Arabidopsis thaliana: one gene and its partners. The protein of the gene in region 1 interacts with the protein of each later gene in a pairwise test. Each region holds a gene or a part of one and is shown on either strand. Other genes may lie near its edges.

What was found.
Region 2: the proteins of AT5G43520 (region 1) and AT5G48240 interact in a two-hybrid assay, tested with the Arabidopsis thaliana proteins (one large-scale study listed by BioGRID).
Region 3: the proteins of AT5G43520 (region 1) and AT1G76210 interact in a two-hybrid assay, tested with the Arabidopsis thaliana proteins (one large-scale study listed by BioGRID).
Region 4: the proteins of AT5G43520 (region 1) and ZW9 interact in a two-hybrid assay, tested with the Arabidopsis thaliana proteins (one large-scale study listed by BioGRID).

The regions. Positions count from the first base shown.
Region 1 is NC_003076.8:17,483,352-17,490,790, reverse strand, and holds AT5G43520 (Cysteine/Histidine-rich C1 domain family protein), read left to right. Parts: upstream 1-4,481; 5' UTR 4,482-4,599; coding exon 4,600-5,352; 3' UTR 5,353-5,560; downstream 5,561-7,439. Other genes in the region: AT5G43530 (Helicase protein with RING/U-box domain-containing protein), read right to left, coding at 127-1,464; LURE1.5 (Putative membrane lipoprotein), read right to left, coding at 2,275-2,498, 2,594-2,642; LURE1.4 (Putative membrane lipoprotein), read right to left, coding at 5,990-6,213, 6,309-6,357.
Region 2 is NC_003076.8:19,555,762-19,563,906, reverse strand, and holds AT5G48240 (Rrp15p protein), read right to left. Parts: upstream 4,665-8,145; 5' UTR 4,607-4,664; coding exon 4,163-4,606; intron 4,082-4,162; coding exon 3,980-4,081; intron 3,896-3,979; coding exon 3,814-3,895; intron 3,707-3,813; coding exon 3,687-3,706; intron 3,603-3,686; coding exon 3,542-3,602; intron 3,452-3,541; coding exon 3,387-3,451; coding exon of another isoform or gene 3,316-3,386; coding exon 3,230-3,315; exon of another isoform or gene 3,135-3,229; coding exon 3,080-3,134; exon of another isoform or gene 3,005-3,079; coding exon 2,909-3,004; intron 2,814-2,908; coding exon 2,754-2,813; 3' UTR 2,632-2,753; downstream 1-2,631. Other genes in the region: BBX8 (B-box type zinc finger protein with CCT domain-containing protein), read left to right, coding at 794-1,315, 1,403-1,570, 1,673-1,974, 2,059-2,188.
Region 3 is NC_003070.9:28,592,977-28,600,447, forward strand, and holds AT1G76210 (DUF241 domain protein, putative (DUF241)), read right to left. Parts: upstream 3,021-7,471; 5' UTR 2,907-3,020; coding exon 2,226-2,906; 3' UTR 1,974-2,225; downstream 1-1,973. Other genes in the region: AT1G76200 (NADH dehydrogenase ubiquinone 1 beta subcomplex subunit), read left to right, coding at 375-481, 798-843, 948-1,004; AT1G76220 (hypothetical protein (DUF241)), read right to left, coding at 4,554-5,324; AT1G76230 (uncharacterized protein), read right to left, coding at 7,015-7,404.
Region 4 is NC_003070.9:21,611,303-21,619,716, forward strand, and holds ZW9 (TRAF-like family protein), read right to left. Parts: upstream 2,868-8,414; 5' UTR 2,788-2,867; coding exon 2,399-2,787; intron 2,184-2,398; coding exon 2,014-2,183; intron 1,921-2,013; coding exon 1,638-1,920; intron 1,550-1,637; coding exon 1,398-1,549; intron 1,289-1,397; coding exon 1,092-1,288; 3' UTR 501-1,091; downstream 1-500. Other genes in the region: AT1G58265 (Cytochrome P450 superfamily protein), read left to right, coding at 1-86.

The DNA of each region.
Region 1 (7,439 bases):
CAAAAGTATGACTGGAAGAGTTTAGTTTCCTTAAAACTACACAAATTTTCAGTATCTCACAACATGAAAGATGTCAGAATCTTAAGAAACAGAAACACAAATCGTTAAGTATCAAAAACAACTTACCTCTCCACATCTTTTGGTAGAGAAACGAACAATGTTTGGGACTTTCCATTTTGCAACAGAAGAAAATGTGAAATTCACAATCTCATTATCTTCTAATTTCCTTCCTTTACTCGTAGAAGTAGCAGTAACAAGTGACCTCCCAACCAAATACCAATCTTTCTCCACCGGAAAATCTCCATCTTCCACTTTCACCTTTCTTGCTCCAACTGGTTCCTTCTTCACATACACAGATTTCTGCTCACGGCTAAATTTCACATCTTCCACTTGAGAACTCATCTTAACAGCTTCCACCTTTATTTCCTCAACAGGTTCCATCTTCACATGAGTATAACTTTTCTCTGATTCCAGATCAATAACTTCAGGGGTATCCAACTTCTCTGGTTTCACAACTCGAAGAGGCGTCGGCGCCAGGATACAGCTTTCCACACCGACTGGTGCATATGATTCCATCTCCATTTTCCTTCTCTTGGCTGATGTACCATCTGAATCTCCAGACGAAAAGAGATCATCATTCTCTTGCTCTAGCTTCTTATTAATCTCACTTGGCTGGTCTTCCAGGACTTTGATTACCTCATCCTTCTTCTCAAGCACATTCGGAAAAACAGAATCTTCTTCCAATTTTGTACCTAAATCAGGTTCTTCTTTCACCTTGACATCAACACACTCATAATCTAAACCTCTCGAAACAGTTTCAACCACAGATTCCGCTATCGAATCAGCAATCATTTCTTCTTCTTTAACAACCACCAGATTATCAACACACAATTCAGGGTCCACTACCTCAACCTTCACATTACAATCACAACCCGAAGCAGTTGAAACAATTTCAACAACAGAATCTTCTATAGAATCAACAATCATTTCTTCTTCTTCTTTAGCAACCACCAGATTCTCAACAAGCAATTCAGGTTCCACTACCTCTACCTTAACATTACAATCATCACCAGAAGCACTTGAAACAATTTCAACCACAGAATTTTCTATCGAATCAATAATCATCGCTTCTTTGCGATTCTCAACATCTAAATCAGGTTCTCCAATCTCTAGATTCTGCTCCCTAAATGAATCAGATTCTACAATCTCTTTGTTCACACAAGTAAAACCATCACTAATTACCTCGTCTTTCGCCGGAAGCGTAACCTCCGAGTTAGATCCATCGGAGTCAACAAGGCTTTGCTCCGCCGGTAGAGCTGAGATTCGGACTCCAGTGGTTGTTCTGATGACTAGAGAGGATTCGTCTATAAAATCGGGAGTATCTGCAACGATCTTACGATCATCGGAACTCGAAACAGCTTCGGATTCGGTTAACCGCATCTCTGCGTCATCAACAATGGCCATTTGGGAAGAAAGGAGGAGAGGGAAGAGAGAGGCGAAAATGGAGGATGAGAGTGGGGGGCGTAGGGGTTTTAAATAGGAATTGGTCTTTTGGGATTCTAGTTTTGGCGCGAATTGAAGTGAATGGGTTTGGTAATAAAATTGGCGGGGTGTTTTTTGGAGCCGAAATTACTGTAAATCTCGCCGTTAATTTACCAAATTTATGTGTAAAATTTTGCCTCTTTGCAGGATATTTAGAGTATTTCCTTTTGCAAACCTTAAAATTAGGTAAGCGAATTTGGTTAATCGATTTTTTTGCTTTTTCAAAAATCTTACCGAAATTATGATAAAAAATTATTTGGTTCGGATATCTGCTATTTTTAAATAAAAATAAAATCTACCAACACCTTTTTCTTTTTTTTTTTTTGTTGAAATTCAGTTAATGTTTTTAGATTTCTGAGTTTTCGGTTAATTCGCTTCAGTTTTCTCAATCCAAAGGACTGGATTCGACCCAAATATTTTATTCGTGTTGCCTTCTTTAATTGCTCCATAGCTTGTATAACATCCAATATTTGATTATTGATTTGTATTTTAGGTTTGGATTCTTTTACTCTAACTGGTCATTACAAATGAGGATCCGCGCCAATTATGTCATCTTCAACATTTTTTTAATTTTTCAATGACTTATGTTTCCAGATAAATTTTATGTTAAGTGCACACTATAAAATTTTTAGATTATTATACATGTTCATTATTGTAAAAAGAAGGGCATGGATGAACATTAAGCAGTAATATAATTTGTTTTTTATTAATGTTTAACAAAATTACAATACCTTATTTAATATCACTAATACTGTAACGACAAAGTTTTCTTTCAAAACTACATGTACGAATATACTTACCCCGTCTCATACAAGCTCTTGCGCAATCAAAACAGTAACCAATTCTCCCAATTTTAAGTTCTTGGTTCAGTGAGCGTGGATCAAAAGGACTTGCTCTTGGACTGAAAGAATATGTTCTCTCTTCATCACTAGATCCATTTATAAGTACTGATGTACCTATCAAATTTTCAAAAGATATATCAAATTCTTAAACAGTTTTTGTAATGATTATAATACTGACACATTATCCTAATTAAATAATTTAAACTTACATGAAGAAACAAAAATTAATAGAGTTAAGAATATAATAGGCAACTTCATTTCTTGGTAGAAATTAACCAATATCACAAAGAAAATATATTAAATATTATTGTGAATCGTTTTTCTTTTGTTTTGCTCTGGAGTATTAAAGCAATATTTAGTCATATTTATAGACTCTGTAGATAAATATGTTATATAAAGAGTTAATTTTCAGTTAAACGTTTTATTTTGTTATAAAGTAAAATTTAGTAACATATTACGTTTGTTTTTGTTTTAAAATTATAATTTTTTAGTTATTAAAATCTGTTATATATTGGTATAAATAGTAATATACATCTAATAAGTGCAAACAATTACATGTTTAAAACTTTAGATTTCAAAAATTACTATTGATGCCCACATTTTATTTAAAATATTTAATTCGAGGAACTAATAAATATATAATATAATTTGATTAAAAATATCAAAAAGTTCTATATTATATATATACTAACTCATGATGCCTATCTTGCTTTTCTAACAAAATCTTAAATCACTTTTGGATTCCTTATTAATACTTATGATCTTAAAGATGACCAAATCAATTAAATTCTTATATGCCTCGAATCAATCCAAACTCTTTCTACATATGTATATCTTTTAGTTATAAATTGCTTAAATTATTTATTAATAAGAAAATCTTTAAATCACCTTATTTCATTTTTTTTTTTGAACAAACACCTTTCAGTTTTTATCTATAGAAACAAATTATTCTTCAAAGTCTTATAAACAAAAGTCTTTTAAGTTGTAACCTGATTATTAATAAGATTTGGTATTAAGTTTTTGAGATTGTTTTACCAAAAAAAAAAGAAAAAAACAAGTTTTTGAGATTTAAACGAAAAAAACCCCTCAAGTATCGATAAATCCATTTTAAAGCCCTCAGCTATATTATTAATGAAAAAACCCTTAACTAAGAGATTTAAGTGACAAAAACCCTTAAGTATTAATCAATTTTTTTTACTTTTTGTGCAGCATCTTCAATATCTAAATTAGTAATAAATGATGATAAACTTGGAGACTCTTGTATAACGAAATCAGAAAAAGAATTTTTCGACTTTTAAAGATATATACCTGAAACTGCATAGATTTGAAACTTTTCTAACGGGGATGACACTATCTTTAAACCGTCAAAGTTTTTAATAATATTCCAATACATGATCAAATTTCCAACCATATTTGAAATTTAGATCTTGCATATATATTAGCATTTCTTAATTTCCCTTGATTGAACTGGATACAGTTTTAAGAAAAATATAAATAAATAATGATGCTTGCATGTAGTTTATATAGAATACTCACTACATCATCACTTGAAGCACCACTTGAATGTTTATATTCACATTATTTGATCTATGCATGTTGTTTTCTTGTTGCTTTCTTTTTTTTGGTAGGGAATTGATCTGTACAGAAGTTTTCGTTTGTTTTAAGACTTAAAACTATGGTTAACCAATTAACCTTTTTTTTTGGTGAGAAGAGGGGAGACAACCGACAATATATTACTCAAAACTATATTAAACCAATTAACCTTATCAAATGGAAGTTGCACAAGATAAATTAGATAATAATTAGCATAGACTTAGAGACGTTGACCTCATTAAACCTTATCCTCTCTACACACACACATATATATATTATGCGGATATGCCCTAGTTGCTATAAAACTCGGATGTTAATTAGAATATTTATTTCTACAAGTTATCTTAATCTTAGAATAATAAACACCAAAGCGCGTCTAAATACTTTTATTTCCTAAACTTTGAATCCCAAATGTCAAAGTCTCCTATACAGATGTCAAACCTTATAATTAGCGAAATAGCATAATACAATGACAACTTGATTAATATAATCAATAAAACGAAACGCATACTCATTAAACCTACAATTATAATGAAGTCCTCTTGCAGTTTTTGGTATATAAAGTTCCACACCCTTCTCCCTCAAAACAACCAAAACCAAACACAAATCAATAACATACTAAATGGCTTCAAGAAAACCAAAGGCCAAACCGGTTAATCGCCAATCTGTGAGGCACCCAAGTCACAACCATCCGCTGCGTGTCTTTAAAGCCAAAGAAGAGGATGAGACCGCATGCTCTGGCTGCGAGCTAGAGCTGACCGGGCAAGCTTTCAAATGTATAAAGTCAGAGTGCGATTACTTCTTACACAAGTCATGTTTCGACCTTCCTAGTGAGACCAATAACAAGTCTCACCAGGACCACCCTCTGACCTTGCTTCATTCCCCACCAGATGATCGGTCTGTCTACACGTGTGACGCGTGTGACCAATACGGATCTGGATTTTCTTACCATTGCTCAAACTGCAACTACAGTCTTCATGTGGGATGTGCGTTTATCCCTGAAACCGTAGATCGTGAAGATCATGAACATCCACTCACTCTTCTTTATTGCACACCGTGTAAAGGACGTGAAGACACGTACTTCACTTGCAGCGCTTGTGATGAAACTATTTCAGAAGATCTATGGATGTATTACTGTAAGGATTGTGACTATGGAACACATCTACACTCATGTGCGGCATATGAAGACCAAGGGAAAGAAGAAGAAGATGAAGACGAAGAAGGAGAAGCGAGTTCTCCAGCTTCTAGGATAAAGTCGTTGATGAAGGCGCAAGACGAGATGGCGGCTATGCAGCTAGAGGCACGTATTGAGAATGATGCGAGGAATGCTGCACTTGATCTGTGGGATGAACCAAAACGTAGATACTATTGGTGATCAAGAAGGGACGAATATATTTATGAATATTGATATTTTTCTTTGCGAAATATGGTTTCCAAAAATAAAGAAACAATAGATATATTACTCTTTCTTGTTTGGTTCTTGTTTATTTGTGTGGATTTAATCATAAACACTCGTGTGTAAGTTGTTTATTTTGCAATATGAAGAAGAAGAAAAAATTTAAGTTGATTTGAAGATTTGTTTTCTTTCATTTTCTCTATCGTAACTCGGAAGAGGTTTAGGTAAATATGTAACATAATCAAACATATTGGAACCTTATTTATCTAGAGATGTGACGGTGATTAAAAACTTTGACCCTTTAAAAAACTTTCAAACCCGTATTTTATATAATAAAATAGATTTACAGTATAGATGAGCAAAATAAATTTGTTTAAATGTAAAATGTTTAGAAAAAAACTAACAGTTTCCTTGATTATAATGAATAAGTTTAATTTTTCAAAAATATTTTTTTATTTGTCAAGGACTTATGTTTCCCAATAAATTTCATGTTTAATGCACACTACAAAACTGTTAGATTATTATACATGTTCATTATTGTAAAAAGAAGGACATGGATGAACATTAAACAGCAATATTTTTTATTATTATTAATGTTTAACAAAGTTACAATGCCTTATTTAATATCACTAATACTGCAACGACAAAGTTTTCTTTCAAAACTACATGTACGAATATACTTACCCCGTCTCATACAAGCTCTTGCGCAATCAAAACAGTAACCAATTCTCCCAATTTTAAGTTCTTGGTTCAGTGAGCGTGGATCAAAAGGACTTGTTGTTGGACTGAAAGAATATATTCTCTGTTCATCACTAGATTCATTTATAAGTATTGATGTACCTATCAAATTTTCAAAAGATATATCAAATTTTTAAACAGTTTTTGTAATGATTATAATACTGACACATTATCCTAATTAAATAATTTAGACTTACATGAAGAAACAAAAATTAATAGAGTTAAGAATATAGAAGGACACTTCATTTTTTGGTAGAAATTAACCAATATCACAAAAAAAAATATGAAATGTTTTTGTGAATCGTTTTGGATTTCGTTTTTATTTTGTTTTGCTGTGGATTATTTAAACAATATTTAGTCATATTTATAGACTCAGTAGATAAATATGTTATAAAAGAGTTAATTTCATTTAAACGTTTTATTTTGTTATAAAGGAAAGTTCAGTAACTTATTTCGTTTGTTTTTATGTTTAAATTATAATTATTTAGTTATTAAAATATCTTATATATTGGTATAAATAATAATATATATCTAATAAGTGCATACAATTACCGGTTTAAAACTTTAGATTTTAAAAATTACTATTGATACCCACATTTTATTTAAAATACTTAATTCGAGGAACTAATACTTATATATAATAGAATTTGATTGAAAAGATCAATAATTTCTATATTATATATATACTAAACCCCAAACCAAGCACTAAGAAATATCGCAATGAATCCTACACTTCTATATCTGAAGAATCGAATCCAAACCACAAACTGAATGGGTACCATTATATAATTATATATATAAAATATTAATTATTTTTAGACTGGATGTAAGCCAATGATCCAATATTACAATTATAAATCCAAAAATATTAATTATTTTTTAGATCAAAATAACTAAAATATCCAATAATAACCAAATTATATGAACATTCTTAGTTATATTTATCAAAATTTAAGCAAAGTTTTTTTAAATTTAACCAATTGTTTTATCAGAATATTCGATATTTCGGGTACCCGAACTCGAACAAAACACCCATGGCTAGATTTTTATTTTGTGATAGTTGTTGACATCAGTATATCTAAAGATTTCATTATAGCTGGTCTAGTTAGGGTTACAAATTTGTTTGCACAGCCCACTAAAATCTCCAATGTTTTCTCACAATCTTAATGTTGAGGATTTTTTATTGAGTGCTCTATGTTGTTAATAACGAAAAATGTAGTAATTTCCAAATTAAAGAGCAAATCAACTAGTGCAATGATACATGTTTCTATCTCTCTTAGGTGATCCGAGAATAGATTTAAAAGTTTTTTTTTAATAGGTAATTTTAT
Region 2 (8,145 bases), 2.1 Mb from region 1:
GTAGATCGCGAGTACGGCTCTTTGTCTACACGCGAGCGCGTGACTTCATACTCATAAAAATATCTTTAGGGTCCTTAGAAAATGGGTTCTTTTGAACTTTTTACCCAATGTTTCTAGAATTATCAGCTTATGTCACATGCCTCTGCCTACATGTCCCTTTGCAGACACAACCCACCCATTGTCTATCCATCTGTTTCTCCTTTTACCCTTCTTCACACGCAGCTAAAGAAGAAATTTGTGGAATCATCGCTTATTCGTTTCAAAAGTCATTCATTTTTGGTGTCTCTGCTTCAGAAGATACTTGACGATCTCTCCTACGTGAGCTCTTTAAAACCCTTGTCTTGTTATTTTAGTGAGGGTTGCTTTGATTCTCAATCCTTTTTGACTGATCTTGAAATGGATCTTCTTTCACTTCTCTCGGATTTGTAATAAGAAATCTATAATTTTTTAGCTCACTTCTCTGATTGGTACATGTTGATCTGAAATTTGAAGTCTTTCTGCGATGTTAATTGGTTTCTCTGATGTCTCTTTTGATTGGTCTTTGATTTAGAACAGTCTCATCCATAGGAAGTTACAATCTTTGAGGAAGAGATGTTTAAAAAGATTGGACTTTTATCTAATTCTGGACTTGCTTTCGATACCAAGTTTCAAGCTTTTGTTAGTTGTTTAATGTATTGTGGTAAGTTTTTTTCCTTCTAAGATTATGATATAAGGGACTAACCAAAATGGTTTGATTCTTTGTTAGTGAAAGGAGCTTGCTTTCTTCAGTGTGACGGTTGAGATTGGTTGAAAGATGGGTTATATGTGTGATTTCTGTGGTGAACAAAGATCAATGGTGTATTGTCGATCTGATGCAGCGTGTTTGTGTCTTTCGTGTGACCGTAATGTTCATTCTGCTAATGCTCTATCGAAACGTCATTCGCGGACTTTGGTATGTGAGAGGTGTAATGCACAGCCAGCTTCTGTCCGGTGTAGTGATGAGAGGGTTTCTCTATGTCAAAACTGTGATTGGTCAGGCCATGACGGCAAGAATTCTACTACTACTTCACATCATAAAAGGCAAACCATCAATTGTTATTCTGGTTGTCCCTCGAGTGCCGAATTATCCTCGATATGGTCTTTCTGTATGGATTTGAATATCTCTTCTGCTGAAGAATCCGCTTGTGAGCAAGGAATGGGTTTGATGACTATAGATGAAGATGGCACAGGAGAAAAATCTGGTGTCCAAAAAATTAATGTAGAACAGCCTGAAACCAGTTCGGCTGCACAAGGTATGGATCACTCTAGTGTTCCAGAAAATTCATCAATGGCTAAGGTATTTTAACATGATTTTCTTCATATTGTGGTAAGATCTTGAAAGCAACTAGCGTCTAAATGTTTCTTATTATTGTACTGGTTGTAGGAGCTTGGAGTATGTGAGGATGACTTCAATGGAAATCTCATTTCAGATGAAGTAGACTTGGCTCTTGAGAACTATGAAGAACTCTTTGGTTCAGCCTTCAACTCATCAAGATATCTCTTCGAGCACGGTGGAATTGGAAGTCTTTTCGAGAAAGATGAAGCTCATGAGGTTTTGTCAACCTTCTTCTTCTATCTGAGACTAGTATCACTAAAGTTAAGGATGATTTTTTTCTGTGATCCTTATGCTCTTTTGTGTGTTTTCTCAATTCAGGGCTCAATGCAGCAGCCAGCATTAAGCAATAATGCATCTGCAGATTCGTTCATGACTTGTAGAACCGAGCCAATAATTTGCTATTCATCAAAGCCAGCACATTCGAATATCTCCTTCTCTGGCATCACTGGAGAAAGTAATGCTGGAGATTTCCAAGATTGTGGGGCGTCATCGATGAAGCAGCTTTCAAGGGAGCCACAACCATGGTGCCATCCAACAGCACAGGACATTATTGCTTCCTCACATGCAACAACACGTAATAACGCTGTTATGCGTTACAAGGAAAAGAAGAAGGCTCGCAAGTAAGTATAAACGCACACAGAAAGGAATTTAATTCATCATTGAAAGTTGTTATAGCTAATATTTAACATATTTTGTATAAATAGGTTTGACAAGCGAGTAAGGTATGTCTCTAGGAAAGAAAGGGCTGATGTGAGACGGCGTGTGAAAGGACGGTTTGTCAAGTCCGGTGAAGCTTATGATTACGACCCGATGAGCCCAACAAGAAGCTACTGAGGATAAAACCTCAAAACAATGAAAGATCACAAAGTGGAGATATAAGACAGAGATGCAACTAATTGGCAGCGATGGATCTGGAAGCCATTATTGGTTGAAAAGGAACACGAGTTCTCCGCCTCAAAAGCGTCATACTTGCTTAGAAAGGCGCATGCTTCTGCAGTTCTGCCTCATTTTTTGCATAAAGTTTGTTATCTTCTTCTGTCATTTGGCATCATGACTTGACTGTGAAACTAGAAACTCTTCTACAGATTCAGGTTCATGATCCTTAAATTTTGTCCTATTATAATTTGTGTAGCCAAGGCAAAACAACGAATGTATATTTTTTTTACGTCATATAAATAATAACCATGTAGAAGTTTGGAGTATCATCACTTCTATATTTACGGTATTGGTTAATGATACTAACAAGTGTATTTTCTAAAAGCGTAACCACAAGAATCACAACCTTTCAGGATCCTTTTGCACTATCAAAAAACTGAATTCATTCATATTGATCAGACAAAATTTGCATGATACAAAGGCAAAATTAAAGTTTGCTCGTTTAACTACTAGTTTAAACTCTTCAGTCTTCATAACTTTCATCTCCTGACAAACCGGCAAAATCATCTCCCTCGCTTGTTTCCTGCGGACAATTCAATTTTAAGTTTCAGATCAAAGAGTATAAATCAGTATGCAAGCTATGTGATTCCAGATTTGTGGATAAGAATGAAGAGATACCTGTTTCTTGTCCCAGTCCTTCAGTTTTGGGTTTGCTAACATGTAATTATCTCGTAGAGGAGCCCAAACAGGAGCTTCGTCTTCAGATTTGTGAGCCTGCACCATCCAACAGAATATCACTAGTTAACTAACCAACAATACTTTAGACTTATAACTAACGGCTCTCGCTACTGAAGGTGATCCTTTCTCTATAGAAGCCAGCTCAAGACAGAATACTAACTTGCTTCTATGTTCATCCAAAGTTGAAGGCTTTAAGAACATTCAAAATTGTTACTAGTAATTTACTAAGAATACTTCTGATTTATAACTAACATCTATCACTCACTCATGAGGTGATTCTTTTCGTGACTCTCTATAGGAGCTAGATCAAGACAGAATACTAACTTGTTTCTACGTGCATCAAACGGCTAAGGAATAAACTCTCAAGATAAATCATAATGAAAGAGAGAGAGTAAGAGATATGGAGACTATGCCAAACCTTGGTGTCTGTTTTTGTTTTCCCTAACTCAGACAAGAATGCTTCTTTTCTTCGCTTCTTCAGCACTGATGGATGTTCCAATAGGATAAAAAACGAGAATTAGAAGATAAGAACAAGACAGTGGATTCATGCCAACGATCAATTTCTAAGCCTACCTTTAGCGTCTTTAGACCTTGAAGGATTCAAACCCTTCTGAGCATGTTGAGCCTTGTTGACCTATTTGAAAAACATAAACTAAGAATCATACGAATCACTACCGGAGAATAAAAACCTCAAAAATAGACATAGAAACAAACTTACAGCATTGAAAAGCTTGACCACTGTGATACCACAAGTTCATGGAGAGGAAAAAAAGAGTCAATACTAAAACAAAAAAAAAAAACCAAACAATCTCAAGAAACAGAGAGTTTAACCAAAGCAACAATACCTCCTTTAGTAGCAACACCAATAAGAATCTTTTCATGAGAATCCAAATAACTTCCAGGTTTAACATGTCCCTTCTCAGCAATCTTAAAAAAGCAATTGTTAAGATAAATCATCATCTAAAACACAAGAACACAAACGAATAGTGAACACAACAACCAAACTCATACCAAATGTTTAGCCTTTCTAGCTTGACCTTTAGCTTTCTTTTCAGCTTCATCTTCAGCTAGCTTCTCTCCAATAAGATGCTTATGTGCTGATAAAACTGGGCCCTATTACACACAACACCAACACAGTTCAACACTATATTCCCAAATCAAAACTCAAAACTAGAATCTGCTATAAAATCTCACCAATGTATCATCTCCTTTAGTCTTCTTCATAATAGCTTTAAAAGCGATTTTGAAAGCATTACATCCATCAGTAGCAAACTTAGTGATTCCAGATTCAATCTCTCCATGATCTTCACCATCTGAATTCTCATCATTATCTTCTTCTCCAATCTCTTCGTAATTTGGTCCCATGTTAGCATCAGAGAAGATCTTCTCACGAATTGTTACTTCTGGTTGTTTCTTCGATTCATCATCTTCTTCTTCATCGTCATCGGAATTGTAATCTCGTGCTCTCTTCTGAAATAGCTTTTGATTCTTCATTGTAACCTTAAACCTATCGGAAGTAGAAGGTTTTGATTTTTGCTTTTTGTTCCTCGCCGCTTTAGTACCTTTCTTAACGCCGACTCTTCTCTTTCTAGAGCCTCTATCTGCCATCGCCATGTGACCTTCTTCTCCGGTAGACATGGCTTCGTCGAGAACTTTGGGTTATCACGGCGGCGAGAGTTTGGGGGAGAAGAGACGAGAGATAGGGTTTTGTTATTGCTTTCTTTAAACCTTGCTATAAGGGAAAATGTTTTCGGATTCTGATTTCCGGTTAAGGTCAGGTTTGTAAGTTGGATTTGGGTTCGAATTTGAGATTTCGGTTTAGGTCGGGTTTTGTCGTTTTGATTTCTATTGATAAATAATGGTTTCCACATGGTTAGCGACTTAGCGTCGGATATAAGATTTGGCCGCGTAATCGGTTCTTGACCAAACTACGAGGCTTGAATGGTTCAAATGCAGACTGCTGAAATTTATGGAAACGGAGAGTTGCGGTTTTAAGAGTTATCATATATTTTAAATGATTGATTTAGCGGTTAAATTTTACGTTTGTTGAAGTTTTATAGTTGGTTAACTAGCATGTGCGATAACGGTAAATACAAAATACCAAAATAATATAATTTATAATTTTAGAAAACTGAAAAACACCAAATTTTTATATTATTATGATTTAATGTTAAAATTTTAAATATAACTAATGATAAAACCATTTTGAGGATCTCAAGCTTGATAAAAAAATTGTCATGAATGAATATGTGTCAATTGATGAAATTTATAATAAAATATTATATTTTTTTACAAAATATAACTAATAAAAAAAAGTATTACATAATTATTCAAAAACAAGTAAATTTCATATTGAAATGTTTATTCATCAATTTGATTCATCACCAAAAAATGTATCATGTAATATGATATACTTCAAACAAATATGTTTGAATAGTAGATATTTCAGATTAACAATATTAGTACAATATTTATATTTGTATCTCGCCTTTTAACAGTTTGATTGACGTCATGATTTTGATGGAAAAATAAGAATTTAGAGTTATGAGAATTAACGTTAACATATAGGGTACAATAAAAAGAATCAGTTTTTACAGTTTTGAGAATTCACGTTACAATTTTTAGAATTTTCAGCGACCTTTAGTTATTAAAAGTATGTTTACTTGCTTTCTTAAATACTTAGGTAAACGTAATGAAAAGAAAAATTATATTTATTCTTTACACAGAATCATATGTAATTTCAGTTCTGTTATGAAGCAAGTTTTTAACCTTTGTGTATGTTCTTCTACGCACATCATACTTGTTCTTGAATTGTTTATCCCATGAATATCTCTTCCCAAATTTTTCTTCAAACTATCTCATGATGGACTCTTTTCCAGTTATATTTAATCTCGTCTTTCTTCTATTCCCTTTTTCCTCAGCAGTACAAAGTTGAAGAAAATATCAACACTCTTCGTCCGACCAATTCTAAATTCAGGAAAAAACATCCAATTCTCAATCATACAATTCTATAACATTAGAAAAAAAAAAGAAACTTACATCATCGTTGTTCATCTTATCAAGTAAGTGACAATCTTAGAGGAAGTAGCAAGTAAGGAACTGTCAATTGCCACTGAAAAAACGAAGAAAGAATGTATGTCAACACAAACTTGTTCCTTTACACTAAGAAACTAACACAAATGTCAACACAAATCTAAATGAAAACAAGAGGATTTGATCTTATTTCTCGTTTGGGTGCAAATTGAAAGTTTAATAAGCGACACAAAAGCAATACAACATGCATCCCTTTGATAAGATTTTAGAAACAACACTTCAGTTCCAGCTCCCAAAATCTGAACAAAATGATTGTGATTTTATACAAAAGTGCTTCAAAGAATTCAAAGTTGTGAAAGGAATAGAACAAAAGAATCCTGATAAAAAGAATAAGTTTTTAATAACTATTTAATCTATTTCGAGATAGAAAATTTGTCTCATCCTGTTCGCTAAGTTTGCGTTTATTTGTTGAACTCAGGTCAAAATTGGGGTTTAAATCAAGTTTGGATAAGGAATTATCGAACAAAAAATAAAAGTGGAATAAAAATCTTTGTCAAACAAACTACAATTAGTAGAGCAACCCAATCATTGTTATAGAAATAGCTCATTAACCCATGTGTTTAGGTTTCCATCAAAACAGATTCATAATTTGTGTGATAAGAAGAAGAGAAGTATTTTTAGGAGTTGCCTCTCGTAGAAGTCTCTTTTTTTTTTTTTTTTGGTGAGATCAATCAAGGAACCACTTTAATCTTGATGACAATCCCAATATTTTATTCTTTTCTATTTCTTGCACAATAAAACTTAACTAACTATCTTATTTTCAATTTTAGATTTTTATGTTAATAAGTTTATATGAGCACAAAAATGGATAAATGTTTGCTACTTATACGAAAGAGATGTCATCATCTAGTCACACATGCATACTTTAAAAATGTCTTGTTAGCTACACTATATATTGTTATAACATACCGACATACACAAATAAATATAAGTTATGTTGCCAATACCATAACCATTCTACTTCGGTTGTCAGAATTATGCGTTGACCGATATTTTATTTTTGATAAACAATTAATAAATAATTATAATTTGCCCTTAAACAGAAAAAAAACTTTGGCCTAACTACAATTTCATTAACTTAGAGTTTAACTTTTGTATCAAGGGAAGGTACAATAGAGAGTATTTAGTAGATTGCTTTTTCGTTCCCAACAACCTATTCCATTTCCAGACAGAAAATCAATCCCCATCCTAATTCACTAAAAAAAAAAATCAATCTCCATCCCATTCGTGTTTGTTAGTTGAATTTGGGTCGTAATTTGGGGTTGAGTCGGATTTTAATAATTGCATATCGAATAAAAATTAAAAATTGGAATCAAAATCTTGGTCAAACAAACTGCAGTTATTGGAACACTTAATCATTGTCATAGAAGTTTGTCCAAAATAAAAACTCATTGTCATAGAAATAACTTATTAGCCCATATGTTTAGGGTTGTCATTAAAATAGATTTATATAGATTTGTATAATGAGAAGAAGGGAAGTTATCTTTAGGAGTTGCTTCTTGTGTTAACTCTCTCTTCTTCTTTTTTTGCTTTGTATGAGACCAGTCAAAGAACCACTTTAATCGTGGTGACAATCTGAATATTTTCTTCTTTTCGATTTCTTGCACAATTAAACTTAATGAACCATCTTATTTTCAATTTTAGATTTCTACTTTAACAAGCTCATATGAACACAAAAATCTATCTTGGTTTAGTTTGTCCCACAATAAATTTATTAACTTAAGAAGACTCAAGAGTTTAACTTCTATTAAGGGAATGTACAATAAAGCTATTTAGATTTCCTTCTCACCCAATTATGTCTATCCATTTGGATTAAGTGTGGGAGAGAGTATTCGTATTATCCATTTTAGTATATTACTTTTCCAAACAAAAATCAAAATACCCAAAAAATTAGAAATATTTATCTTAAAGTAGAATGTTCTCCAAATACATGTCCCAATGTGGAATTTCATTACATAAAACTTTTGAACCTAATTTAGAACCCAAAATTTTAATCCCGTCTTTGAATCAAAATAAATTGAATAATACTATCTTTTACCATCCGAATTATTTGTTTCCAATGTTTACCCTTTAACTTTCGTCCC
Region 3 (7,471 bases), on another chromosome or scaffold:
AAAACTACAAGAAAATAATTTTTCTAAATTGTAGGGAAACCAAAATTTTAAAATCTTGATTGGTATGAAAATAAGTTTTTGGAAAACAAAAACCAAAAACTCTTACAAAATCTACAAAACATTCAATTCATGTATCCAAACTTCTTAAAGGGCCCAAAAAGGAAGAAAACATTGTGAAAGAAACAGATATAGAAATGGGCCTTTGGTCTTTAAATTGGGCCTAAGCCTTTTAATTGAGGCCTTACTAAAAGTGACGACTCACATGGTTGAATCAAATCTCAGGTAGTAAATTGTCAAAGCTGAGGAGAAAGAAAGCTTTTTCGGTCTGAAATTGAAGTGCGAATCGGGGAATCTAGGGTTTCGAGAGAGAGATAATGGGTGGAGGAGGACATGGCGGAGGTATAACTTACAAGGGAGTCACTGTCCACACTCCCAAGACTTGGCACACCGTCACCGGAAAAGGCTTGTGCGCCGTTATGTGGTACATTTCTGATTTCTCTCTTTCACCTAATTCGCTTTTGATTTTGGGACCTAGCTAATCTCGATCGTAGCTAGATCTCGCCATGGGGATTTTGGGCTAATTGATCATCTGAGGAATTTTGTATATAGAATCCATTTGAATCAAAAAATTGGATTTGTCAAATTAGTATCGGAGCTAATCAGGTAGATGTTAATTTGAATCAGATATTGCTTATGTCAATTTCAGTTCGATGAGAATGGTTGAAGAAGTAATCGCACATAGGTTTTAACTTTCCCTAGCATTCACATCTTAAAAACTCAATTTTTGGTATTTTCAGGTTCTGGATTCTGTACAGGGCAAAGCAAGATGGTCCTGTAGTTATGGTAAAACTCTTTCATTTTTTATCTTTGTCTCGCTTTTGTAAATTTTATTGGTCCTAATATCTTTCGTGGTGGCTGAATCTGATCTTGCTATTGGCAATGGATAGGGATGGAGGCACCCTTGGGATGGTCATGGTGATCACGGTCACGGAGATCATCACTAGGTAATGTCTTTACTAGTAGTATTGTCGATGGAATCATTAAGAAAGATGATTAAAAAATCTCCTTTTTCGTAGTAAACACGCATTATTGTTTATACCGTATAGCAATTCCTCAATGAAGCTAATGTCTATGCATAATGTAGAGTAGCATTTCTAAGTTGTCACTTACTAACAAGATCTCTTGTTAACTGCTATCTAGTTGGTTTTGAAGAAAGATGATAGCTTTGATCTGGTTTTGGTTCATACAAGTGGTGAAAGTTTAGAGGATCTTTAACTTCTCTATAGGATGTTCTTGATTTATATCTACTAGAATGAATCATTGAAACTCTCGGGAGTGAATGAAAATTGAGTGCCTTTATTGTGAATGTTTGTTATTAGTTTAGTGGTACATGTTTTGAGTTTTCTCTTTGTTTAGACATTGATGATTTGTAGTTATCCTCGAGTTCACCTTTCATGTAACCATATAAGCATTGCTCAAACTACTTGACACTAATCTGGTTTTGGGTTTTGCTGCTAGGTCTCACTGAACCTTTGAAGATCATGACGAAAAAAGGATCGTCTCTTGTTTTTTTCTTAATTTTCAGCTTCATATGTCGAAATAAAGAGAACTGTGAAGAAGACGTGAATTGTTTTTGTACACAACTTTGTAAGACTTGCTGCTTCTGTTTTAAGTTACTACTTGTGTGTTGCACTTCCTGATCATGTTGTTATTTTGCTGTCAACAAATTAATTTGAAATAAAACGCATTGCGAGATTCGTGTTTTTAGATCCAGCCTCCAATGATACGAATTACAAAGAAACACTAGAAATTAGTTATATTCGCTGTGTTAAGTATACAAATTAACACTTACGAAACTGAATTTGTTAATGGTTTTTATAACTATATCTGAAAACCAAAAAAAATATGCAAAATCATCAAATTGAAAATGTCTATTCTAGCAACATGAATTGTGAATAAATAAACAAACATCTATAATTCAAATTTTACTTGAATAACAATTTCATTTTGACTCTATTTTTGGTGAAGACAAAAAGTGTGCCTTCAACTTCAAGTCTTTAATCCAAGTAGCCAGTTTAGGAAACGGGTAAAAAAATAAATTATATAGAATAAAAGAATTTGATGTTGCAAACTTGAAAATAAGTTTACAAATCAATCTATTTAATGTTAACTAAACATGTCCGCTTGAAGCAAAACCTAACCGATCCGGACATATCATATATTATCTAGTTGGTGAGAATATTAAGAAGTGAAACTCTCGTCTGAATCAATCGCCGGAAAATAGATTCCAACTCTATTTCAAGCTCCACTACAGTAATCTCCGCCGCCTCCAACCTCGTAGTCGCGCTTTGCACCGCAGTCTCGTCCCATTCATCATCTAACAAATAGGAAGACCGAATGGAAAAGATCGAAGACAAAGACCCTTTGCTCGATCTCTTCTCTAGCCAAGGAATACAACCAAGTGAGAACAAAGACTCAACCATCGTCACAACGACTCTTCTCACTTCCTTCAAAACTTCTGTGACAAACAGAAGGTTCTGTTCTATTGGCATGGCCACTCTTCCTTCGTTTCCTTTCATGTTCTTCAAACAGTTTAAGCATTTCAGTGTCTCCTTCTTGAGCTTGTTCTTATACCGATTATACGCAGCTATCTTCTCGTTGACATCAGATGATTCGTTGCCACGTAGAGTCAGTTGTAGATCTTGCAAGCTGTGTTTCACGAGCGTCATCACATCTTTGGATACGTTACAGATGTCTAACATCCTCAATGAAGCTTCTGAAACTTGTTCCGTCCATTTCTCTTGTCCTTGTTGAGACAGAGATTCTCTTGTTTTCGGACAGTGATGGAGGAGATAGTTTACGCAGTCGTGTAGCTCTCTCAAACCCTCAAAGTTAATCTGAGCCATAGATAGATCTTAATCTATTCGAGATACTTAGCTTTATGAATGTAAAAAAAGAATTTGAAAAGGTATTTTTTGATGTAATTGTGAATGGTTTTTAGGGCTTCTTGAGAGTTTTAAGCGAAGATTAGAGATATATTGAATGTGTGTAAGAATGAGATTATATATAGAGGTTAAGAAGGATCTGAGGGAAAGTACGATGAAGGTTCCCAAGTTTGGGTTTTTGTACGGACGTGGGACATCCGGGGAACAGCTCATTTTGGAGGTATTATCAAAACAATGATTTAAATGATTCAAAACATGTCACAAGGAACCTTCTTTGTACGTAAGAGGCACTCGTGGATTAGGGTACATTGTGGATTCGTTTAGATTTTCAATTTATAATATATAGTTTTAAAGATTTTTATTCTAATATATAGTCTTAAGGTTTAATTATATACTATATACCATGCATGCACGAGCGACGGTGCCAGGCTGTGTTGGTAAATTGCAACAATTTGGAACAGACGGACGAATATTAAATGAGATGAGAAATGTTTAGATTTTGGATCAGACTTTAAATATTATGTTAAGGGTTTGTCAGATATGTTTTATGTATCAAGTTAAATGGATATATTAATTACCAACAAGAAAGTAATATAAGTCTTACAGTAACAGAAAACAAATAATGGTAACTACTTGATCAATATGAATATATGATCAATAATCATTTTAAAACCGGAACTTATCTTTGGCAATACATGCGATTGTGACATTGTGTTACGTGTTAACCTCTCAATATATGTTTCTGGACAAGCGAAATATTCACAGTTTCACACAAATACCAATATACCTTTTCTATAACGTGGACAGTAATAATACGCATACATTAATACATATATGTTTATATGTCTAATTTCTCTATCAATCAGGTAACCACCTCGACGGCTCGACGCATGAATACATCCTGGATTAGATTTTATGTTTAAGATCTTTATATCTCAGGTTATTTTCAACAAATTAATATCTTCCCACAAATTATATAATTAGATTCATATCCCTCCAACTCCAAATGCTGAAATGCTTTCATTTTTATTATGTTGTTAGTGCAGCAATCTTATTATTCGATTTCCCGTTTGGAAGGTATAGCTACTAATTATAACGAATAATCAACCATGCATTATATTTTCTCTGTTGTCATCATCATGTAGAGACATTATTGCGTGATTAAAAAAAGAGAAATAAGAAGACATTATTGCGTGATTATAAAAACACACAGAGAAAATAAGACATTATTGCGTAATTTCTTTAGCTATTTTTTTTGCAAACAACCCATCAAACATAAAATAAAGCCCATGAAACTCAATTAATAAGCCCATTATCTCAAATTCATCCTTACTCTGTTTTGCAACAACTTCTGATAAGAAAACTGATACACTCATCAGTCTCATGATTGTATAACTATAAACTTATGAAATATTCATAGAGTACTGAAGTGATCTGCTGATAATTGTTATCTCGAACTCGTATTCTTGACAAGTAATCGTTTGAATATGATTTAAGAACGCTGCACACAAAGTTTTACAAGTTCTAAAGATCAATATGATCTGAGAGACTTTGCCTAAACTAAAGCCAACAATACTTCACAATGAACAAAATTACATCTATACAATCTCAAAGAGTAAGCATGTTAAGAAAAGAAACTCTTGTCTTCAACAGTTTCTTATACACACACTCCAACTCTTTCTCTGTTTCTTCAATCTCATGTTCTGTTTCTCTCAACTTCTTCAGCTCATCCACATCAACTTCTTGATTCTTCTTATTAAAAATCCTCGACACAATTCCTCTCCTTGATCCTTTCTTTTGATCTCTCTGATCCTTCGTCACTACCTCAATCAACAAAGAAACCAAAACATCAAAGCTGGTCTTTTCAACTCTTTTCATTACATTAATGACATCTCCACAATCTCTCTTCCTCTTCCTCATCTTCTCCTCTGTTTTCTTCAATTGTTTGACGATGGTTCTGCTCAGTGCTCTTCTCTTAAACACGTACGCGTCTGTCTCACGCGCCACGAAAGCTTCTTGATCTTCTCCTGACTTGCTTCTGATCAATCTCCTCCTCAAGCTTGATTCGAGTTCCCTGACTTGTTCCTTTATCTCCATCAGAACGTCTCTGATCGTGCTGCAGATATCAAGAACCTCGATGAATCCGTCAGAAACATCTTCAAATCCTGTGAAAGACTTTTGAGTTTTAGTCGTTTGAAAACGGAGGAAAACTTCGACAACCTCGTACAGATTCTTTAAAACTCCAAGTTTCCGACGAGCGGACTCTGGTCTTTTCTTTAGTAACAGAAGATGATCTTCGATGGCTCGAGACAGAGGATTAACGTCTTCGGACCAGCTTGTTGAACGCACGTGTGCACCAGATGATGAAGTACAAGCCATGGCTGATTCACTCTATAGAGATAATAATGTATAGTCAACGAATGAAAAGGTTTAGCTTCTCATTAAAACGTACTCTCACCAATATATATGTATGTGTCTCTATGTACATGCATGATTAAGTTTGAATATACATATACTTGCACGTAGAGGTAAGTCAATAGGTCGACGAATATAGATACAGGCTGGAATTGGCTGTTGCAATTAAGTTTCTTCCGACAGTCTAACGACAAATCTACACTCTTCTCCTTCATGATAAATTTTCCCTCTTTTTTTTTTTGGCTTGGCATTAAATATTCATATATGGCTGAAACAACCAATTAATCACATAGGTGAACATGCTGCTTAGCAAATGATTTTCATGCAAGATCATCATGGACAATAACATTCACACGGATAATTTCTTCTTGATTATTTTGTACATTTTATTTAGGTAAATATGTGAAGTCTCTCCTGAATATCTTTTTTTTGTATTACCTTGATTTAACAACATGATGAGCAGTAATTCTTCTCTAGGTATCAATGTAATAGTTAAACAGAAAAAGACCAAATATTGAGGGGGGATCGATAAAAACCTGAAATGATCTTACTTCCAAATTTCAGTTGCTTATACTGATTGCATGTGCGGCAACCTTGGATGGGCTGCGGAAATACGAAACCAACAAGAAACAATAACCGTTGGCTGCGAAGTCGCTCTCGTAATCTCTGCAACGTTTATTATAATACCATTGGAGATTTCACAGATTAAGAAATGTCCAAATACCATTTGTATACGATATACACGCATACATGTAATATAATAGTTTTCCAATTAGGGGAAAGCTGGGAATGTGCACGAATGGGAATACTTCTTAAACTAAACCATCAACCAAGTTGGTTTCGTGACAACCTGGATGTGTTTTTATAAACGTCATGGTAGATCATAACATTCCATATACATCTATTGCTATTGTATAACTTACAAAAAAAAATAGAGCCTATTTAAACCAAAATAATAATAATCTATTTATTAACTAGGTGTTATCCACGCTTACATTTATCTAAAATTTGTAATTTAAAAAACAAATAATAAAATAAGACCAGAATATGCAATACTAATGATGTGGTTTCATGCTGAGTTAATTAGTGTGTTAATATATCAAATTTAAAATTTATTGTTCTTGAAAACTAAACTAATTATTGTATAGTTGAAACAAACTACAATTCATAGATCATTCTTGCTATCGTTATTATCACATAATATTAATGGATCGGAAGAGATTGTTTTAAAACGATCAAAGTATATGAATTGCTATTATTATTTATTTTGACCTATAGGGAAAATTATACATATACACAACAGACCTAATACAAGGAAAAAGGAAATCTAAAAAAGGAACACTTGTACAACAAATTATATACAAATATGAGTAAATAGAGATATTCATGATAAGAATGTGAGACTACAAGATAAGTAGATAACCAATACTACAAGGAAAAGGAAATCTACAAAAAGGAAACTCTTGTACGACAAAAAATTATACAGATTACGAGTTAACAGAGATATTCATGATAGGATATGAAATATACATACCCGAATAGATCACAGGCTAAGGCTAAATCCGATCGAGGGATGAGAAAACAATACAGAGACAGTTAGAACGGAACTGTATATGGTAATACAAATATTCCGAATTGAGGCGAAAACTGGGCCTTAGCTAGGAAACAAGGAATCTCCACATGATCTCTGCAGCAACTTCATGATCATCTCTGCATCGTTCTTGATAGCGGCTTTATTAGTGGTAACAACATTCTTTTGCTGATTGTTACCAAAAAGCCAGTCATCATCAAATAACGTGTTGAATCCAGATTCGTTGCTTGGCTTATACTTCTTTCTATTCTTTGATTCACAAATTGCATCTTCCCTTATCGTCTTCTTACTGCTATGACTAGCATCAGACAAACACGCATCTTCTTCTTCTGTCAAACAACTCTTCTCAAGTTGTTCTGATTCATCTGAAACTTGCTTGTTTGGTAAATATTCCTCTTTCGTATTCTCTTCCCGTTGTACCTTTTTAGAAGAAGCCATGATTTGTCTTTCCATCTTCGACAAAAGTTCTGACTGAATCGAATCTAGGTTTCAGATCACGCGTAAGACACCTCTATTGTTA
Region 4 (8,414 bases), on another chromosome or scaffold:
AATTCAGATCAAGAATTTTTAGAAAATGTTTGGGTGACAAATCATCAAGTGATATAATCTTGTTAAGTACTATTTATGTTTTTTAAGGGAATTTTGCCAATTGTGCCATATTTGTATAAATATTTTGTCGGCAATGCTATTTTTTATATCTTTAAAATTGTGCAATGAGTCAGCTTTTGACAAAGGAGAAGATGTCTAAACTACCTTTAATTGGTTATGGAGGGAAACAAAACATTTCGCCCAATGAGGCTGACACCTCTGCCAAAAGCAGTTGACGTCTAGATAAGATGATGGTGTGGCGTGGCACATTAAATGTGGACAGAAAGAAAGTTATGATGGTTGTTATACAATAAAAATGGTTGCTTTTAATACAATAATAATTTATCACTTGATGATTTGTCACCCAAACATGTAGGAGTCGACGAGAAACGAAGAAAGATGGATGTAGATAATGTATCGGAGAAGGGATGATGGACAACAATACTGTAGTTGTAGCAGTCGACGAGAAACGAAGTAAACAAAATACAGATGTCCACGAAGATGGAACCGTGGACAAGTTTTTAGTAGCAGTTCATGTTCCTAGTATATCTAACAAATCTTCAAAAGTACAGTAGTTGAAGCCGAGGACGGGAACATAAATGAAAAGTGAACAAAAAGTTTAAGCGCAGTAGACAACTGTACAACTACAAGCAATAGAGAGGAATCGATGTAGATAATGTTTATGGAGAAGAACAACATTGTAGTAATTGTATTAGTGGACGAAAAACGAAGTGAAAAGAATAATCAATTACTAAGGACAAAACTACAATTATTGAAGCCGTAGACGATCGACTAAACGATTAAGAAGTGGACAATTATAAAAGGAAATGTGAATGGATTACGTACCCAATCTTTAAATCCAAAAAAAAAAAAAAACATCCTAGGGACTGCCTCTTTCATCCTATCCAATTTGGTATTCAATATGTGAAATCAGATTGATCAAGTTTGACATAGGAAAGCTCGAACTCATTATTATTGAACAGAAACAAAAAACACAATGAAGCAAAGTGATAGTAGCCAGTTGTAAAATTACACTAGCGACGATTAGTCACCTAAGTACTATCTCCCGTTAAAACATTAAGAGACGATTGATGAGAGTAGTAGTCGGTTTTCGAGAAGGACAAGATCTGGACTTCAAGTTTGAGAGTATCGTTGACTAGGAAACCTTTTGATGTGTTTTTGATATCTGCAAATGATAGAAACCTGTCGAAACCCCATCCATTCTCCGTTGCATTGGGCCATGCCGCCACTGTGTATATAGGAAGAAATCAAAAGTTATTTTTATTTTTTAAAGGCTCATTAATTATAATTAATTAGCTTTAAATTAGTAGTAGTAGTTGACAAAGTAGATATCAAACCTTTTTTCTCGAAATTGTTGGATTGGATCTGGTCAATAACTCGTAACTTAGCTTCCACATAACCCTTATCATTTGACTGATCACTCAACAAATAGAGTGACAACGAATTACCCGTAGCATTTCCAACTCCATTTGGATACACTTTCAATGCCCTTCAATGTAAAAAACCATCATATTATTAAACTAACACATCTTGTACGTATTGTTATATATATACAAGAGGAAGAAAGTCACACGTACCAGTTTCTTCCTCCGGAAGAAAAGGAATCAGAAGTGTAAGAGTCAAGAAAACGTGTAGAGAATTTGGTGAGTCTCCATTCGAAAATAGGGTCACGAATGTTTTGTTCATTAGAGAACACTTCCCAATTTTCAAAGGGTTTAACAATGTTGATGTCAACGCCAAACACAACGCTTTCGCCCTCGAAAAAGTATCCATATGCCGGATTTTCAAAATAGTAAATTGGTAGAAATTGTAAAAGTCCCCACTGTTGTTTAAACAAATGAAATCGCTGGGCCTCAGTCTCTGCAAACGGATCAAACTTAAATAACTAGTCTGAACAAACCACAAAAGATTTAAACATATATATTTACTTGCTCTAGATTAGTTAATTAGTACCCTGGCTTATTTGGTACTTGTCTGTACTGCTTTTATAAGCGAGGAATGTGATCTCTGCATACACATCTTTTGGATTGGTGATGAGGCTTGAGTTATCGACTCTTACGTAAATCGAAACGTACCCACCCGAGTCCGTTGGAATGTATATGACTGGGTAGATTAGGAGCGTCCTTATAACATTTTAAGTAGAAATATGTCAAATTATATACAAATTAAAATTTGGGTGAGATTCAGAGCAATAAGTTAAAATCTTTCACATAGAAAGTGGAGATGATCAAAACACTAGTATATAAATGAATACCCTTTGACAAAAAAAAATGTATATCTTCTATGTATAAGGTATGGTTTCTCAACATTTTTGAAATGGAAGTCAACGCGTACGTACCAATTGTATCCACCGACGGAGAAAGGACGTGACTCATACTTGCCACCGTTTTCTTTGACCTGCTTTGCCATAGTGACAAAAGACTGGAACTTCACGCAGTACGAATTTGGAGGACGAGTTCTCGTATCTGTTGTTACTGCTTGCGAGAGCTTCTGTTCATCATGAGCACGAACAGAGGCAGAGCTAGGTTTTGACGAGCCACACGGAAGATTCCCTGAGTTCCCCACCGCCATGAAACCTTCTTCTACTACTGCTTCCGTCTCAATTAGGTTTTGAAGGTTGATATAAGGTTTTGCGAATCTTGCAACCTCCACAATGAGTACGAAACAGAAGAAGCAGTAGACAAAGATTGAACCATAATTTCTGCTTTTCTTTTCCTCTGAATACATTATTTCTTTTTCTATATTTTGTGTTTGTAATAATGTCTTGTTTTATGTACGTATATATAGGCATAATGATAATATGTGTCACGAGATTCACGTTTATTAGTGATTAGTTCTCAGTAATACACCAATCTCATGAGATCGTTAGTTCTCAGTAATACACCAATCTCATGAGATCGTGACACGTAGGTATTCACTAATTAATTAGCACGTTCTACGACATATTGTTTTGTTGGGATATACGTGTCTCACAAAATAGTAATTGTTTTCTGCTGCATCATTATTTTAACTTATAAGTACAAGAGCAAGTCATAGTGGACAACTTCGTGTTACGCACGTCTCAAAGCAGCTTAAAAAACCCATTGATGAGATCTCGATTCGTACCAACTACCAGACACGATTCATACTCATTAATGTTACTAGAGATTTGATTTTTCAACAAAACAAAAAAATAATAGATATTATCTGAATTTAACAGATTATAGTTTTTTTTTCCTTTATTTCACTATCAGTCTCTGTGTACACTATGGTTGTTATTTTTTATTGAATGAACGTGAAACACCATTTTCAAGTTCATCGACAGAGAGATTCGGAACAAGACAAAGGAAGCATTTCGGAAACCACATACAACTTTGGATTAGATGAATTCACTGTTGTGTCTTCTTTGTTTATTTGTTACCTTTGTCTTTATTCTTTTTTGGCAACGCTTCTCCCGGGCCGGCTCTGAAAGAAGCAACATGAAACATTTGTATGTTGTCTCCATTTTTAAAAACTTTTTTTTACAGCAAACCTGATTTATAAATAGGCTTCCAAATATATTTAGTTCTAAGAAAAATATATCCAAATTTCAAAACAGTTTATAATAACCCCAAATATATAATTTGTTACTTTGGCCCCCAAATTTTGACCGGTCATAGGTCTCTCAACCCCTATATACATTATACATCATGTAATTCCAAAACTATTATATATATATATACACACTATTTCATTAATATTTACATTTATATATAATAATAATAATAAAAACCATGACAAAGCATCAACCCTTACCATATCCATAAAATATATTACTCTTGCGATTACCTAATGACATCTATATGACCCTATCGATTTAATTGCCAGCGCGGTATAACAGTGACACCAATAATTCACACTACCAATTCAAAATCAATTCCCGATAAATAAATAATTGAAACCAAAATATTTCAATACTAGATTTTAACCCGCGGTACACCGCGGGGACAATTTATATTTTAAAGTTAATATATATAAAATTTTGCAAATTGTATCTATCTATAAAATATTTTTATTTTATAATTTACAATTGTTATTAAGTAACGTTCTGCCAAACCCGTCACGCCAAACCCGTCCCGTAAAAAAACCATTATTTTATTAATGTTAATCTTATTTATGATATGTTTATGAATTATTGTCTAAATATTTTAGTCGATGTGGGACGTTGAACTCAAACATTTTTCGCCAATTGGTTAATATATGTTTATTTTTAAAATTTCGAATCACAAATTATGGCGGAAAGAATAGAGATTTTTTTAAACTTTATATATTATATAATGATGTTAAAAAATTATGATATATTAAACTTTTTATAATTTTAAATATTAATAATGTTTTATAAATTTAAAATATTTAAATAATTATATTTATTTATTTTATATTTTGAGCCTTTAAGGTAATGACATAATAACTCTAAAAGCAAGGATTTAGAAGATTTAAATCTTTAATTAAATATTTTCATTCCTAAATAATTAATGTCAGTGTCATGAGATTGTAAATAAGTTCAAATACATGATTTATTTATTTAAACAAAAAATGTTTAGTAAGAATAATATTTGTTTTAACAAAAAACTTTGTTTTAAAATATTGTTAACAAATATGTTTATGCTAATTTTAAGGGTTAAATTTGATTGATAATGTGGTTGACAATTTAAATCAAGTAAAATTAATTATTTTGGAGAAAAGATTTAATGCTAATGGCATTGAGTTGTAAATAAGTCCAAATTCAGGATTTATTTGTTAAAATGGCTGCAAAAATGTATATGTAGATTTTTTGAAAGAAGTGATTGAAAGAATATTTGCTGCAATGAAAGACTACCAAATCGACAATAAGAACAGGTAGCATTAGGCATGATTCATCAGGAGCAAATTTTTGCTTTACAAAAACTAAAATCTCTAAAGCAAAACTCAAACAAGAAAGAAGTTAAAACCCAAAAAAAAGGGGAAGTAAACCTGGTACTAAAATATATTAAAATGGAACATAATAATTTTTTTAAAAAAGACTCATAAACTCTAAAACTGCAACTCACAATTTAGGGATTAATTATGGGATTGACACAATTAAGTTTATATCTTTATGAAAACAGACATATCTCATATGCCTTATAGATTTAAGTATTTTTCTATGCAAGTATTTTACGAGTTTACCCTTACCACTGAACCTACAATGGTGATTGAGCTCCTGCAACAACAACGATTTTGACAACGGTAAGAAGCAACGGCGGTGACTCATGAATCATGTCTCGTGATGAAAAAGACGGCAAGATCTCGACCTCCAATTAGCGTTGGCGACGATGGTGAGTTTCAACGACGATGGTGAGTTGAGCGATAGTGAGAAGCGAAGGTGATAGTTTGGATCTCTAGAATTACTTTTCCAAATCCTCTGTTATTAGTTGGTGACGATGATGATGAACTCTATTGACAATAAAAATCAAATTTGGTTTAGAATTAATAATGAATTGGAGTGTTTAAGATTAGAACCCAAGGGTTCCCTAGATAGTATCCCTTTAGGGTTTAGATTTCTTCAATCAAAAATCATTTATTTTGATTGATTGGGTTAATCAGAATAGACATGTTGGCTGGAAAATTTTGTTGAAGACGATGGTGTTGTTAATAACACTATGAATCGTCAAAATCGATGTCTGGACAATGGTGTTGAAGACGATGGTGTTGAAGACGAAGGGCAAAAGCGTCATATTTGTTGCAAACATATGCCCAAACCTATAAGCCCATTCTAAATGTTCCTTTTTTCTAATTATTGGGCCAAAATGTTCCTATTTTTACAAAAGCCCCCACAATTCAATCCAAGAAAACTCCCACATACCTTCCCATCAAAGTAGTAGACGCCGGAGCTGCACAAAGAGGAAAGTCAATTTTTTCATATCCAAACAAAGTATCAGTGTTCAATTTATACCTAACAGTTTTCTCTTTACTAATATATATCTAACGTTTTAAATAATTTAAGTTCCAATACATGAATTTATCCAATCATGCAAAATCATACATCATTGATGACATGAATGTCATGTCCTTGATAACGTTGGTGACGTGGATGTCACGGTTTTGATGACATTGTTACCACGTCATCATCTTGTTAATAATAATAAAAATTCTTATTCTTTCCATCACTGTTGTCCGACAGAATTATGAAAATAATATTCTTTTTGATGAAAGGATTTAAAATCTTATTTTCGAGATTTATAACCAATATTTCAACCAAATATAATATTTAAACCAAGTTTGGAAATCTAAAATTCACCTCTTCTTCTAAAAATCTTTGATCCACAGCCTTGAGAACCAACATCCAAACAAAATCCAAGGATCGGCTGATCCACAGAATGCCCAAACCCGAGCTCCAAAACAAATATCAAAGTGCCACACTATTTAACTGACCAAGGCAAGAGGAAAAAACCTGAAACTCCGACAAGGTGATACTCTAGTAAGACTAACATCTAGAAAATGGAGCCGTTCGAAAACCTAGCTTCATCCATCTATAAACAAAAGGTTGACCATCTTTCTTAAGATAAGAACTGAATATCAATCCTAATGCATCGTATTGAGACCAATCCGGCCCTACTCCAAAACATGCACAGAGGAAGGCTAGTAGATACCTCTTCACCTAATACCATCTCATAAACGCATCCTAATAACGAACATGGGAACAAACCCTCAACAATTCTTCTGATCAATCCACTCCGACTGAACTGATAAACACACCCAAGAACATGATAACAAAAAAGCTAACTCCAAGACAGAGGTATGTATAAGTATCGTAACAAATATGCATTTAAACAAAAAAAAATATATATATATATATAACAAACTGCATAATAAATGCAATATTAACTATATCAATGCACCAAAAAATAAATGCAATGGTTATTCTATTTACTATAAATTTCTTTTTACATCTTTTTAATTTAGTGTAACTTAAGAATTTGAAAGATTTTAACCTTTTTTCTCACTCCTTTTTCATTTGAATTTTCTATAATTACTTTTTGATTTTTTGAATTTTGATCTATTTGTTTGTTCTTCTCTAGTGAAGATAGAGACTCTACGACCACTAGTTAATGACAACAACCAAACCAAACCATACCATATGAGCTTTGTTGCCTCATATCCAGCTACCTATATAGCAACTAGTCGTAACAATTAGATATCAAAATTTTTAATCAGCGATTTTCCGAGCAATTCGTTTTAAAATATTGATTAAAAATTATAAAGTGCAGAAATGAAAATTATGATCCTTGATGTGGTATAGAACAACATAATAAATTAATTGTGATTAATTTCTCGTCTCTTATGTTGCAACTTAAGTCATTCTGCTTCCCGTATGTTGCTACTTTCCTTTTTGTCACTTCGTATTAATTAAACAATGATTGCGAGAGATGGATGTTTGCATTGGAGAGTGAATCATGGATAGCTTCAAACAATGTCATTTATAGAGCCCAAGAAGATTCTTCTTTGTGATAATTGCGATCAATTATGCACAATCATGAGGCCATATGAGGTGTAAGCTTTGTGTTATTTGTAAGAGACTCTCTCGTAAATTTCAAAACCGGAGCCTCTTGTTTCAATTTACTACCGGCTCCTCCTTTTGCGATATGGCAGCCGAGAGAAGTCTCTTCCCCATGAACTATTGTTGGCATAATCAAGCTCCACGAATTTTTCAGGGTCATATGCATTCACCTTTACGTTCGTAATGAGCAGGGTCATATGCAATCACCTTTATATCAAACTTGCTGACAAAACCCGACCCTAATAGCTTGCTATGACGAGGACGTGATGTTTTGCTACATTTTCTATAGATGTTACAACACTTGTGTTTTAACCAATCATTCCCTCAAGGTCATACCGTTTTCATCTCACAAAGTGATAGTTAGTGTTTTATTATCATATTGTCAGTTTTTATTATGATTGACCAAGAACATCTGAACATGTAGCCTCATGCTTGTTGGGGTCTAGATCGTGTGCCTATTCAAGCTGATGGTGATGGAGGGACATGGTAGAGAACGGCGTCATAGAGGAAGACGTTCTCGTGTGGTGAGATATCTCGTTCATAGTCATTTTGTTTTAAGGTTCTCCCAAATCTTAAAACGTTTTACTCAACATTTACAACCACATGTCGAGCTAGACTTATAACTACGCCTTGGAGCTGGTCCTCCTTGCCAGCCTTACCAAGCTGGAGGTTAACATTGCTGGAATCAACAATAGCTTTTATTTAGTGGCGGGGCTTCAATCAACAATAGGTTATGTCCATGTCAGAAGCCTTGGATGAGAGTTAACTGGACTTGTCAATTGTTGTTCATGATTGGAAGTGACATTGTGGGCATCCA